3 linked regions of the Canis lupus familiaris genome follow. The protein of the gene in region 3 interacts with the protein of the main gene of each other region in a pairwise test. Links are inferred from orthologs where the notes say so. Each region holds a gene or a part of one and is shown on either strand. Other genes may lie near its edges.

Evidence for each region. The genes of interacting proteins can lie anywhere in the genome.
Region 1: the proteins of HOMEZ (region 3) and LRRC7 interact in a two-hybrid assay, tested with the Homo sapiens proteins (2 studies listed by BioGRID). The two-hybrid records come from large-scale screens. The link is inferred for Canis lupus familiaris from reciprocal best matches to the Homo sapiens genes HOMEZ and LRRC7.
Region 2: the proteins of HOMEZ (region 3) and ELOA interact in binary tests that used the Homo sapiens proteins (3 or more experiments, as listed by UniProt). The two-hybrid records come from large-scale screens. The link is inferred for Canis lupus familiaris from reciprocal best matches to the Homo sapiens genes HOMEZ and ELOA.

The regions. Positions count from the first base shown.
Region 1 is NC_049227.1:76,610,063-76,614,156, forward strand, and holds the start of LRRC7 (leucine-rich repeat-containing protein 7), read right to left. Parts: upstream 2,859-4,094; 5' UTR 2,754-2,858; coding exon 2,752-2,753; intron 1-2,751.
Region 2 is NC_049223.1:75,138,147-75,142,437, reverse strand, and holds the start of ELOA (elongin-A), read left to right. Parts: upstream 1-1,433; 5' UTR 1,434-1,468; coding exon 1,469-1,621; intron 1,622-4,291. UniProt on the Homo sapiens protein: SIII, also known as elongin, is a general transcription elongation factor that increases the RNA polymerase II transcription elongation past template-encoded arresting sites.
Region 3 is NC_049229.1:3,667,815-3,671,588, forward strand, and holds the end of HOMEZ (homeobox and leucine zipper protein Homez), read right to left. Parts: intron 3,261-3,774; coding exon 1,663-3,260; 3' UTR 548-1,662; downstream 1-547. UniProt on the Homo sapiens protein: May function as a transcriptional regulator.

The sequences.
Region 1 (4,094 bases), on a different chromosome or scaffold from region 3:
TTTCTTTAAGGAGTCGTTTCTAATTCTGAAGCCGCATATGTGCAGGCACACGTGATGGAGGATGTAAGGGTTGCCATGGTAAGCACCCATCCTCTCTTGGACAGCGAAGTATAAAAAAATGTATAAAGAAGTCTCCCTCCACAATATGTCACGGGGATGGGCTGCGCTTCCCAGCGCCACGCAGACACGATGCAGGCCCGCCCCGGGCGAGACTTCAGCCCACGGGGGCGGCAAGTACAACACGGGCGGAAAAACGAAATCAGCGGCCTCCAGGTGGGGGGCCCCCAGATCGGGGCCTCCAGGTCAGGGGGGCGGGCATCCAGGTCAGGGCCTCCAGGTGGGGGCCTCCAGGTGGGGGCCACCACGTCGGGGACTCCAGGTGGGGGCCTCCAGGTGGGGACCTCCCAGTGAGGGCCTTCAAGTGGGGGCCACCACGGCGGGGACTCCAGGTCAGGACCTCCATGTGGGGGCCTCCAGGGGACCTCAAGGTGGGGAACCTCCCAGTGAGGGCCTCCAGGTGGGGGGCCTCCAGGTGGCAACCTCCAGGTGGGGAACCTCCCAGTGAGGGCCTCCAGGTGGGGGCCACCACGTCGGGGACTCCAGGTCAGGACCTCCATGTGGGGGCCTCCATGTGGGGGCCTCCAGGGGACCTCCAGGTGGGGAACCTCCCAGTAAGGGCCTCCAGGTGGGGAGCTTCCAGGTGGGGACCTCCAGGTGGGGACCTCCAAGTGAGGGCCTCCAGGTGGGGGGCCTCCAGGTGGCGACCTCCAGGTGGGGACCTCCAAGTGAGGGCCTCCAGGTGGGGAGCCTCCAGGTGGCAACCTCCAGGTGGGGAACCTCCCAGTGAGGGCCTCCAGGTGGGGGGCCACCACGTCGGAGACTCCAGGTCGGGGCCTCCAGGTCTGGTACCTCGACACACAGGTGGGCGGAGAACTAGGGCTACCCCCCCGCCCCCTCGTCTCCAGCCCGCCCCGGGCGCTGAAGGATGCGCCGAAGGATGCTCGGAAGCAGGGACGCGACCCCGACCCCCGTCTGCAGCCTTTGGCAGAGCGAGCCCGGGCGTCCCGGGCGGTGGGGGCAGGTGGCCGGGCGCGGCCGGCAGGTGGCGGAGCGCGCCGGGAGCCCACGTGCGCAGGGGCTGCAGAACTTTTCCGCCGCGTCCCCGGGAGGACCGCCTGGCTTCCACCGGGGCCCCGCGGGGGGGCAGCCCCTCCAGCCCCCCTGGGCCGCGGGCCCGAGCTGCGGGGGGCGGGCGCGGGGCTCAGCCCGGAACAAAGAGAGTCGGGCGCCCGGACCGGCCTCTCCCGTCGGGGCGATCACGTGTCCTGCCTCCGCCGGAATGCGCTCCCGCCGCCCACGCCACGGAAACCTCCACCGGGCTTGGAAGCGTCGCCAAGGTTAAAACGGGATCACGTAGAACCGCTCCCGGCCGCGGGTCCCCGGGTCGGGTCCGACCCAGTTCGCAGCGCAGGTGGCTCCCAGGTGCTCCCCGCGCGGAGGCAAAGTGGCCGCGGAGGGCAGGTGCGGGCCCTTGGGGGTCGCCGCCCCGCCCCCCGCCCCCGCCCGCGGCGTCTCTAACTCCTCGGGGAGGGGAACTTCCAGAGGCGCGTGGGAGTCGCAGGTGGCTGCGCTCCGAGGCCCATCGCGCATCCCGGGACTTGCGCGAGCGACCCGGTCCGTGCGCCGGGCGCTGCGCCCTCGGGACTCGGCGGGCGGAGCCGCCCCCCCCGCCCCCCGCCCCCCGCCCCGGGCCGAGGAGCAGCCGGAGGAGGCACCTGTGCGGCCGTCGCCCCTGCGAACTCGCGCTATGTTTCGCGGCAGCCCGTGCGCCCCCGGCCCCGGCCGCTCCCCGCAGGGGGGACCCCGCGCGCGGAGGCTGCAGACGAGCGCGAGCCGCTCCAGGAGCCCCAGGGCACCTCCTGCCCCCGCTGCCCCCCCCCCGGCCGCCGAGGATCCCCAACGAGTCCCGCATCCCTCGGGGCTCTCGGGGGACGAGATGCGGAGGGGGCCCAGCGTGGGTCCGGGCACCGCGCGGGGTCTCCAGCTCCGCCTTTGCAACACAAAGGAGGTGTGTGGGCAGGAGCTGCCCGGCTCCGGGGGCTGGGGGGGGGCACAGGCACCCCCACTGCCCGGGCTCCGTGGCTCCCCCGCTTCCTCGGCCCTCCAACCTGTCGCCCTCGTCGCCCCCTCCAGCCCCCTCCAACCCCACCCTTCCCCTCCAGTCCCAAAGGCAGCGAGATCCTCTTAATTGCCTTTCCCAAGCCAACGGGCATCCAACAGTAATACTACACCTGCCGAGATAAAGGGACATTTGCGACCTGCCACAAGTGTGCGTGGGGGGGGGGGGGGCACGGCCAAATGGGCGCTCCGTCCCTCGGGCACCTGCGAGGAGGCAGCACCTCGCCCGGATAACGGCGGGGGCTCGGCCCGGCCGGACCCGCGCTCCCCGCGCCCCCCGCGCCCCCCGCGCCCAGCCCTCGCTCCTCGCCTCCCCTTTTCGCAGTATGTAACCCTTTAGGGTCCCCGGCAGCCCGGGCCACCGGGGCTCCCAGGCGCCCGCACGGCCGGCGCCCGCGCCCAAGGCACCGCGCGCCCCGCAAGCGCGCAGCTCCCCGCCGCCTCCGCGGGCGCCCGGCCGGCAGCTCCCCGACAGCGCCCCGGGGCGCCCCAGCCCCGCACCTCGGGCGCTCGGCGTCCCCGCAGCCCCCCGCCCCCCCCCCCCGGGCCACGAAGCAGGAGCGCGCTACTCACATCGCCGGCGGGAGCCACTGCCCATGAGGTTGGCGAGAGCGAGTCGTGCCGCCGCCCGGGCTGGTTGCTGAGGGTGCTCGGGGTCCGCAGCGCCGCGGGCGCGGGGGCCTGGCGCGGGGGCCTGCGCGGGGGGCGCGGGCCGGCCGAGGCGCGGGGGCGCGTCACGCCATGGTGCCGGGGCCCTCCGGGCGCAGCGGGCAGGTCCGGGGAACGCGGCCGAGGGGAGCCCCGAGCGCCGGCGGGCGGGGAGGCTCGAGCGCCTCGGCTGCCCTGCCTCCGCCCGCCCTGCGCGCCGCGCGAGCGACCACGGCGGCGGCGGCGGCGGCGGCGCGGCTCCCTCCCCGCCCCCAGGAGCGCGGCGCACAATGAGCCGGGCCGGGCCGGGCTGGGCGGGCGGAGCGCCCCGGTGCGCAGCCTGCGGCCCCCGGGGAGCCCGGCGCTGGGGCGCTGCGGGGCGCTGCGGGGCGCTGCGGGGCGCTGCGGGGCGCGGGCGGCGGCAGGTGGCCCCGGCGCGCAGGTGCGGGGCTCGCGGGCGCGGAGGGCGGCGCGGGCCGCGGGCTGAGCCTCCGCTGCCCCCGCCCCCGCGCTCCTCGCCCGCCCCCTCTTCCGACGACACCCGCCGCAGCCGCCGCCGAGCGGGAGAGGCGTCAAGGAGAGCGCGGCCACCCGAGGGGGCGCCCCGGTCCTCCGCCCCCGGCCCGCGCCGCCGTCCTCGCCGGCCCCCGCGACCTGCCCGCGGGCTCCCCCGAAGCCTCGGGGCTCCGATGCGAGTCCGCCGGGGCCCCGACCCGCGCCCGCCCGCGCGCTCCGGCCCGAGCCGCCGCTGCGAGCGGGACAAAGGGCCGGGCCGTGCGGGCTCCTCCCGCCGCCCGCGGCGCGCGGGGCCGGTGCTCCGGGGGCGGGGGCGGGGGCGGGGTGGGGGTGGGGGCGGCCCGCGGCGCTCCGGCCCCCGCTGCTGCTCCCGCCGCCGGCCCGGGCCCCAGGGGCGCGGCGACCCGCGGCTGGGCGGATGCGCGGCTGCGCGGCTGCGGCGGCTCCGGGCCTCGGCGCCTCCCCGCGCGCCCCGGCTCCCGCGCCGGCTCCCGCTCCCGCTCCCGCGCCGGCTCCCGCTCCCGCCCCGGCTCGGTGACGCGGCGGCCGGGCGGCGGCTCCCGCTCGCTCCGCGCAGAGGCGGCCCCCAGCGCCGCCCGGGCTTCCCGCCCCCGCCCCCGCCCCCGCCCCCGCCCCCGCCCCCGCCGCGGGTGCCGGGCCGCCGAGGACGCGAGTGTCCTCCCTCGGAGCGGCCCCCCCGCGAGCCCCCCTGCGCCCCCCCCGCACCTACCCTGCAGCCCCCGCACCTGCCC
Region 2 (4,291 bases), on a different chromosome or scaffold from region 3:
TCTAGGACCAGGACCAGAAGCCAAGTCTCCTCAAACCCTGCGTCATGCCTTTTCTGTTACACCCCACAAGTGAGGGGTCATTATGGACTTTTTAATCCACTGTCGATTATAACATCTGTATTGTGCTGTGCAGCAGAGATTTAAAGCTGGACAGGTTGGTCAGTGCACTTGATGAACAGCACGGTGGCAAGACAGAAGAATAAATTGGCTACCTACACCCTGAAAAGGGTCAGTTGCAGAGGGAGGGATACCAAGCTGAGTGGTGGGAATACAGTAGGGAGGGCTTCTCAGCACAGTGAGTGAATGAAAGCTCATTTGAAGAAACTATTCTCCCCTCCCACCCTTTGTCAGGACCTGGGATCTGGAAGGCTCTCTGGGCTTTCCCATATTGAGTGAGAGGGTGAGAGATCAGGCTAAGTACATCGCCAAGTTGCTGCTGGAGATTGGCTTAGGATCTAATGTGATCCAATCAAGCGAGATGTAATCAATGCTGATAATTTTAGTTTTCAACGGTTTCTTTGTTCTTTTATTAGTAATATAGTATTATTTAGTGCTTCTAGGATGATGTCTTGTGCTGGTCTGATTCAGCCCTTACTGCTTCAGGGAAACAGCCATTCATCTGTTCACTCAAGATGAATTTATTTGGTGCCTAGGTACCAGACACTGCTCTGGGGGAGAGCGAGACACAAGGCTATTATCTTGCCTCACGTAGCTAAGCTGTTTGACTTTTGACAAATCCCTGCCTCCCTCTGGCCCTCAATTCCTCGACCTACTCAGCGAGGTGCCCTCATGGTGAAGGTAAACCATTTAGACTCCGATGCCAGCTTCATCTCTTTCCTGTTGTGTGACCACAAGCGGGTTAATGTGGGCTCCCTGAGCCTGTTTCCTCATCTGTAAAATGGGGATAACTGAACCCGTCTCACCGGGTGGCACTGAGGGTGGAATACAGGGACCCCGCACCTGCGCTCGCGGCGCTCGGCCCCCGGTGGGCGGGTCGCGACCCGGGTGGGCGGGCCCCAGCCCCGCGGACAGGTGGGAGGCGGGGCGTGGCGAGGGTAGGACGGCGCCTGGCGCGGCAGCCGCATTCCGTCGGAACCCGACGGCGGAGAGGTTGGCTCGGCTGGGGCTCCGCGCCGAGGGCCGAAGCGGAGCAGCCCCCCCCGGCCCGCGCGTCCCCGCCCACGCGGCTGCCGAGCCGGTGCTGGGAAGCCGGCCCCCCCGCCCCCCCGCGCCGGGCCCTGGGGGCGTGGCCTGCAGCCGGCCGGCCGCCCCCTCCCCCTGCGCCCCCGCCCCCCCGCGCCGGGCCCTGGGGGCGTGGCCTGAGGCCGCCCCTCCCCCCTCCCGGGCCCTGGGGGCGTGGCCTGCGTCCGGCCGCCCCCCTCCGCTCCCCCGCGCCCCGCGCCCCGCGCCCCGCCTCGCCCCGCCGCCGAGGCCCGGAAGGGGCCCGTCGCTTCCGTCTCCGCCGGGGATGCACGGAGGGCGGAGCCGCGGCCCGAGGACGCGACGCGAGCCCAGTTCCGGCGAGGAGGCCGCGCCAGTGACAGCGATGGCGGCGGAGTCGGCGCTCCAAGTTGTGGAGAAGCTGCAGGCGCGCCTGGCCGCGAACCCGGACCCCAAGAAGGTGAGCGGGTGCGCAGCGCCGAGCCGGGCGGGCGTTGGGCGCGGCGCGGCCCCGTAACGGTCGCGGGCCCGGGCGCGGCGCCTTCCCGGCCGGCCCGGGCCGCGGGGGCTCGGACCCGGAGCCAGGCCCCGCCGGGCTGCGGCCTGAGTCGGCGGGTTCGCGGCCGGGGGGCGGCGGCGGGCGGGGGCGGGGGGCGGGGGGCGCGCTCCGTGCGGACGCGGCGGGCCGGCGGGGCCCCGGGCGGCTGTTCCGGGGGCCGAGCCCGCGGGCGCCGATCCCCTCCGCGAAGTGTGGCCGCTTCGCCGGCGTCCCCGGGCGGGCGCTGGGGGACGAGGAGCCGCTTCTCCGCGGGCCCCGCGCCTCCGACGGCCGTTCCTGCGGCTCTCCGCTTGCTCTCAACGTGGACCCTTCCGCTTGCCCAGAAATGCCCCTCGCAGCAAAACAGAATAGCCCTCCCGTCCCCTAGCCGGCCGGCACGCCCAAGAACTTAGGTTGCGATTGGAACACCCTCCCCCCACCCAAAAAAAGGTTAGAAGTTAGAGTCCGATTTCCTTCTGGCCTTGATAGGAAGGTAAGACCCACCTTTGCTCCTTGCTGTGAGTGATGGGCAACCATTTTTAATTGTGCTCCGCTAGTTTTCTGGGGGTTTTTGTTTGTTTTTTGTTTTTTAGCTGTTTTTGTTAGGTTAAATGCATTCCTTCCTCCCTCTCTCCCGACTTTGTTTTATCCAGCTTCTCGGTGTCTGGATGTTAGAATTTTTTTTTTTTAAGTGAAATACACTGATGAAAACACTTACGTGTCAGACGTTCTCAGTGTGCAGTTCCTAAGAGTTGGATCTCTGAGCCCCAGAGTGCGTTTTGAAGAGGAAGTAGTGGAGGGAGCCCGGCGAGATAAAGTGGTGGTGAGATTTGAGTTCTAATCCATTTACCAACCTTAGACGTTGGGGACTTATTTTGCTGAGTCTGTTTCCTCCCCTGCTTCTATCTAGGACCCAAGTCAGAGGGGAAAGGCCAGGCTCATAGGAAGTGCTCGGTAGATATTAATCGCCATTCTTTACAAGTTTTTTTTTTTTTTTTTTTCATGTGTTGTTTTTCTTTTTTCTTTTTTTTTTTTTTAATTTTTTTGAAGGGCTCCTTCCTCTTCACCTTGTTCCCAACCTGTCGTAGATAGGCTTTTTCCCTCCTACACAGCATCTCACCATCAGGCCACTTTTTTTTTTTTCTTCAAGATTTTATTTATTTATTCATGAGAGACACAGAGAGAGAGAGAGAGAGAGGGAGGGAGGCAGAGACGCAGAGACTTAGGGAGAGGGAGAAGCAGGCTCCATGCAGGGAGCCCGAAGTAGGCCTTGATCCCAGGTCTCCAGGATCACGCCCTGGGCTGAAGGCAGGCACTTAACCGCTGAGCCATCCAGGCATCCCTCATCAGGCCACTTTTTAACTCTTCTCATGCATAACTAGCTCAAAGAGCCACTTCTTCAGGAAGCCATTTTAGTTTTAAATCTGTGAAAACTTAAATGCTTTCCATTGTTCATATTATATCTCTCATTGCAGTTTCAGTACCTAGTGCCCAGACATATTTACAAGTTTCTTTTTACAATAACTCTTTGTGGACATCTAATAAATGGTCATTATTTCTGAGCACTAGCTGGTTTCCCTGAACACTGTAGGTTTCTGACTGATTTTTAAAATCTTAAAGCAGTATTATGTTACACCCTCCCCCCCTACCAGTTTGGTCTTTATCACTATGAGGTTGGGAAAAAAAAAAAAAAAAGGCACCATGTAGTATCTGTAGTTATTTTTCCATTACAATTTGAATTTTGAAGTAGCTTTTCTAGTTGATATGCATGAAATTTCAAATTAGGAAAAGATCTGTAGGCATCTCATCCTACTTGAATTATTAGTGATTATTGTGAGTGTTTGGGTTCTCACTCCCAGACAGCAAGCCACCCTAAACCTCTGCTTTTGCATTGTGAAGATGAGAAAATATTGGGAGATCCTTTTTGCAAAGGGCACAATAGTTGGCGTTCAGAAGTGAGCTAACTGCAGAGAGAAAACTGCAAGCTGGCACACTGGCCTTCTCAACCTTCTGTTAACCCAACAAGCTCCCACAGGTTGTTCTTGAAGTTGCAAGATGATTATATAGCAGGATTGAATTTGCATTTAACTCATGATTTCAAACCATTATTAGCCAAAGGGTTGATTTCAGACCTATATTCATGGATTTCCTCACATTAAACGTCAGTGTTAAACTGTAACTTTGTTTTACCTCTAAGTCCATCAGTGCTCTGGACATACTTGGGGAAAAGATATTAGACTAGGGTTACTTGGCTTCTCCTATTTAATTGGAAACTAGTTTTCATGGGTGGTAAAGTTACTTGTTCTGTATTACATTTTGAGTGTGAAAACTACCAACAACCCAGTTGATAGCAAGTGGAGAACAAGCATGTCAACATTATGAACATCTTTTGCTCTTTGGGTTGAAGGAGTGTGCAAAGGACAACTGAGCTTCCTAAGCGTGTACCATGCAAATGTTTGGCATTTCTCAATAAGCTGTTATCAGTTCTTGCAAACTCTGCAGTTGGTCCCTTGGTTTGATAACAGCAAGTTTCCATGTACCCAAGGATGCCCAAAGTGCTTTTACCTTGTTTCTGCTTTGTACTTTCTTGAA
Region 3 (3,774 bases):
GATAGCAAACATCTCTCAGCAATAAATTAGGTCCTGGGGATGACCTTGAAGCTGAACCAGGATTGCCTATTCTTTCTGGAGCTCTGAATTTTTTTAAGGGCACTTCTAGACACCTCTTCTGGGCAAGAGCCTGTGCTATACAGGTACAGGCAACAGATCCGCCCAGTGATAGATACTAATGTGCTGCCTTTTAAAGTTTTTGTTTTTAAATTTTTTTAAAGGTGTATTTATTTTAGAGAGCAAGCACATGTGTGCATGTGAGCAGGGAAGGGAGAGAAGGAGAGAATCCTCATGGAGAGGCCCTACTGAGTATGGAGCCTGATCTCACAACCCATGAGATCATAACCTGAGCGGGAACCAAGAATCGGACACCTAACCGACTGAGTCATCCAGGCACTCCAAGTTTTTGTTTTTTTTAATCTACCTCAGTATATCCTGCTGCTTTACAAAAAAAAAAAAAAAAAGGAGTATACTAAATCAGAATGTTAATGGATTTGGCTCCATTAATCTCTAAACCATGGAAGTGGCAAAGTGGAGGAGAGAGAAATAATTTTATTTTTGGCCTTTTTATTATTATTCTAGCAATTTGGGGCTTCCACTTTTATTTCTAGATGGTTACCCGTTGATATCAATAATCAAGTCAGTTAAAGACCAGGGTCCCTCTGTCCCCAAGACAGATCCTATAAAGAGAGGGAAAAGTCTCAATTACAGACACAAATTGAACCAACACCAAAAAGATGAAAAATTAGTCTCTGTCAAGCTAGGCAGGAGGGAGTCTCAGGTTTGTAAAACCAAACCTGGAACCTACCTGCACCCACCTTCTGAACAGTAGAAACTATCCCTCTTCTCTATCTCTCCATAACCTAATTCTACTTTTTAAAAGGACATTCCCCCTAATTCCCACATCCAATAAATATCCAATCTAAATTACTCTCCACCCAATTATTAAACTTTTCACAAGCTCCATGGGGAAGATTTACCCTGAGACAAATAGTGAACAGAATGGGGATTTTGGAAAAAGATTTAAGAAGTACAAGGCAAGATGGTCCCAGTATCAAAAATGAAAACTTTCTGCTACCTGTGCAACTCAGTAACGAGGAAGGTAAAAGATACAGTCAAGTTGGTGTGCGTTAAGGAAATACTTGTGATGAGACTGGGACATACTAAGACTCATAGCTATATTATGGCATGGACTTGTGCTCAGAGAGAAGAGGTGCGAAGCAGCCTTACATTCTAGGGAAAATGGTGGGATTGGGGGATGCACTGTAATCATCAACTGAATCAAAATTCTTTACTCCTCCTTTCCAATCCTCCTATAGATGTGGGGCCAAGGTCTGGCCTCTCCATAGTACACTAAGGGAAAAGAACAGCAGACTTGAAGAGACCAAAAGTCTTTTCCCAGCTCATGGACCAGATCCTTAGCACTGTCTTCATTGAGACTAGAACCCTGATTTCTGCCCATCCAATCCCCACCTTTCTCTTTGGGTCCTATGGTCATCGTCCCTGGTCCACCCTCACTACATTCCCAATCCCCCAACCTCAAGAACACAAAGCTTTTCAGTTCTTTGCCACAAGGTAATTTAAAAAATGTGGTTTCTTTAAACAGTTACTAAGTTGGTTCATCTTTTAGTAACAGACCTTCCCTCCCCTAGTCCCCTCGACTCAGTCCTGTATGATCACATCATCATCGTCATCGTCATCTTCCTCCTCCTCCTCCTCTTCATCCTCATCATCTTCTGGCAGTTCTTCCTCCTCCTCTTCCTCCTCTTCATCTAGACAAACCACCACCTCAGCTGGCTCAGGTAATCGAGAGTCAAACCAATCCAGTACCTGCTGGGTGCTAAGCCTTGATGCCTGACTCAGTTGAGGGATATCACTTTCCCGTAGCTGTTGGTGGGCTGCCCAATACCTCTCCAAGGGTCGTATATCCGGTGGGGGTGGGGGGTTTGGCAGAGGTGGTGTCTCAGCCCATTCATTCAAGGATCGGGTTGAAGGTGGGGGTGTGGGAATTGCTGGGTCCTGGAAACTAGGGACACCAGGTACTGCATTGTCCCGAAACCATTTTAGTTGCCCATGCTTCAAGGCATAGCGTGTGTCACCAAACCACTGAATAATCTCAGGCCGAGGTAAACCAGTGATCTGTTCTAATTTATGGTAATCCTCACGCCGTGCCCACTGGCACTGTAAAAAAAAGGATTTGAGGATAGCCAGCTGCTCTTTGGTTTTGCGTTTGGTCTTTCGCTGGCGTTGCATATCTGGGGAAAGGTACTCTGCAGGGCCAACCCTACCTGGTACTGAGTTATGTCTTAGCCCCTGAGGCCAGGCTGGCTCCAGATGTGGGGGCAGTGCCTGTTCATTGGGTGACAGTGGCTGTGAGATACAGCCCAGTGACTGGAGGGGTTTAGAGGTGGCAGTAGCTCCATTAGCCAGTACCGGGAAAGTGGAAGAAGAGGTAGAGGAAGAAGAAGGAGTCATATTAGATACTGACTCCTGCTTACAACTACTAGTAAGTAGTGAGATTGGGGGGGGCTTTTCCCGAGCACATGGCTGGTGGACAGCTGTGGAGTGGTTCCAGGAAGCAGAATCTAGCCCATGTGACTGGTTGGGACCCCTGCCTGACTGCCCCTTAGAGAGGCCACTGCTTTGAAGATTCTGCCAAAAATCTGATTGGTGGGGGAATGCCCCACTGCCAGGTGCAATCAGGGGTTCCTTTGCCTTCTGCTGACTCAGCAGCTCTGAGGACTCCTCAGGCTCTACCTTCAATCCTTTCATCTGAGTGGGCTCACTAAGAGTCAGGGGCACTATTCCAAGACCCATTTGTTCTGGAGGTGGCATTGAAGAAGGCACCTCCTCTGGGGGCCGCCCTGCATGATGAGTAAAAGACAGAAGGGATTTGAAATGGAGCTGGTCCCGATGGTAGACCACTCGGGCTCGAGTCTCTTCTATTTCTTCAGATGACCAGCTAATGCCACAGCGGAGGCGCTGGGCCATGAACCAAGTCTTGACTTTCTCCATCTGCAGCCCATAGCGTAAGCAGAGAAGGGCAATGTCTGCTAGACTGGGATAGGGAAAGTAGCTGAAGGTTTGTAGCAAGTGTTCATTGCCATCCAGCTCACTGGTCTGGGCTGCTTGGGTCCACACAAGCTGTAGCTCCTCGGAGATTGGAGGGAGGCAGATGAGCCCCGCCGGGGAGCTATTAAGACTGCTGGCCTCTTTATTAGGAGGCATGGTGTTTTCTGATTTGTGCCCTTCAGAGATAGCTGTAATAAGAAGAGAAACAGCTCAATCACTGGGGCTCCTCTTTCAGCCCATTGTTCAATTTCTGCCAAACAAAATGTTGGACTCCAATTCAATCGTCTATGTGTACCGTGTTGAATTGCCTTTACAGTGCTTTAATAATTTCTCATTTAATTTTCCTAACTTTATGAGCCTGTTATAATTCCTGTCATATGTATGGAAAAAACCAAAGTCCCATAGAAGTTAATTTAACCCCAAGTGACACGACTGGTGTATATTGTCACCAGGACAAAACTCTGTCTTTAGAGGTTAAGGAGGAAAATTCATCCTTATATTGCCTTTATTTTTCTAATTCAAACTCACTTCACCCTCAAAGTTCACAAGAGTCACAAAATGAAAACTCAACCACAAAAACCATGGGGTGCAGTAATCTCAGAACTGATGCAAATGCTTTAGCTCCTGACAATTTATGATTACCTCTAAAATGTGAAGACGAATGAGGAATACAAGAGGAATATCTAGAAAGGACAGCACTGT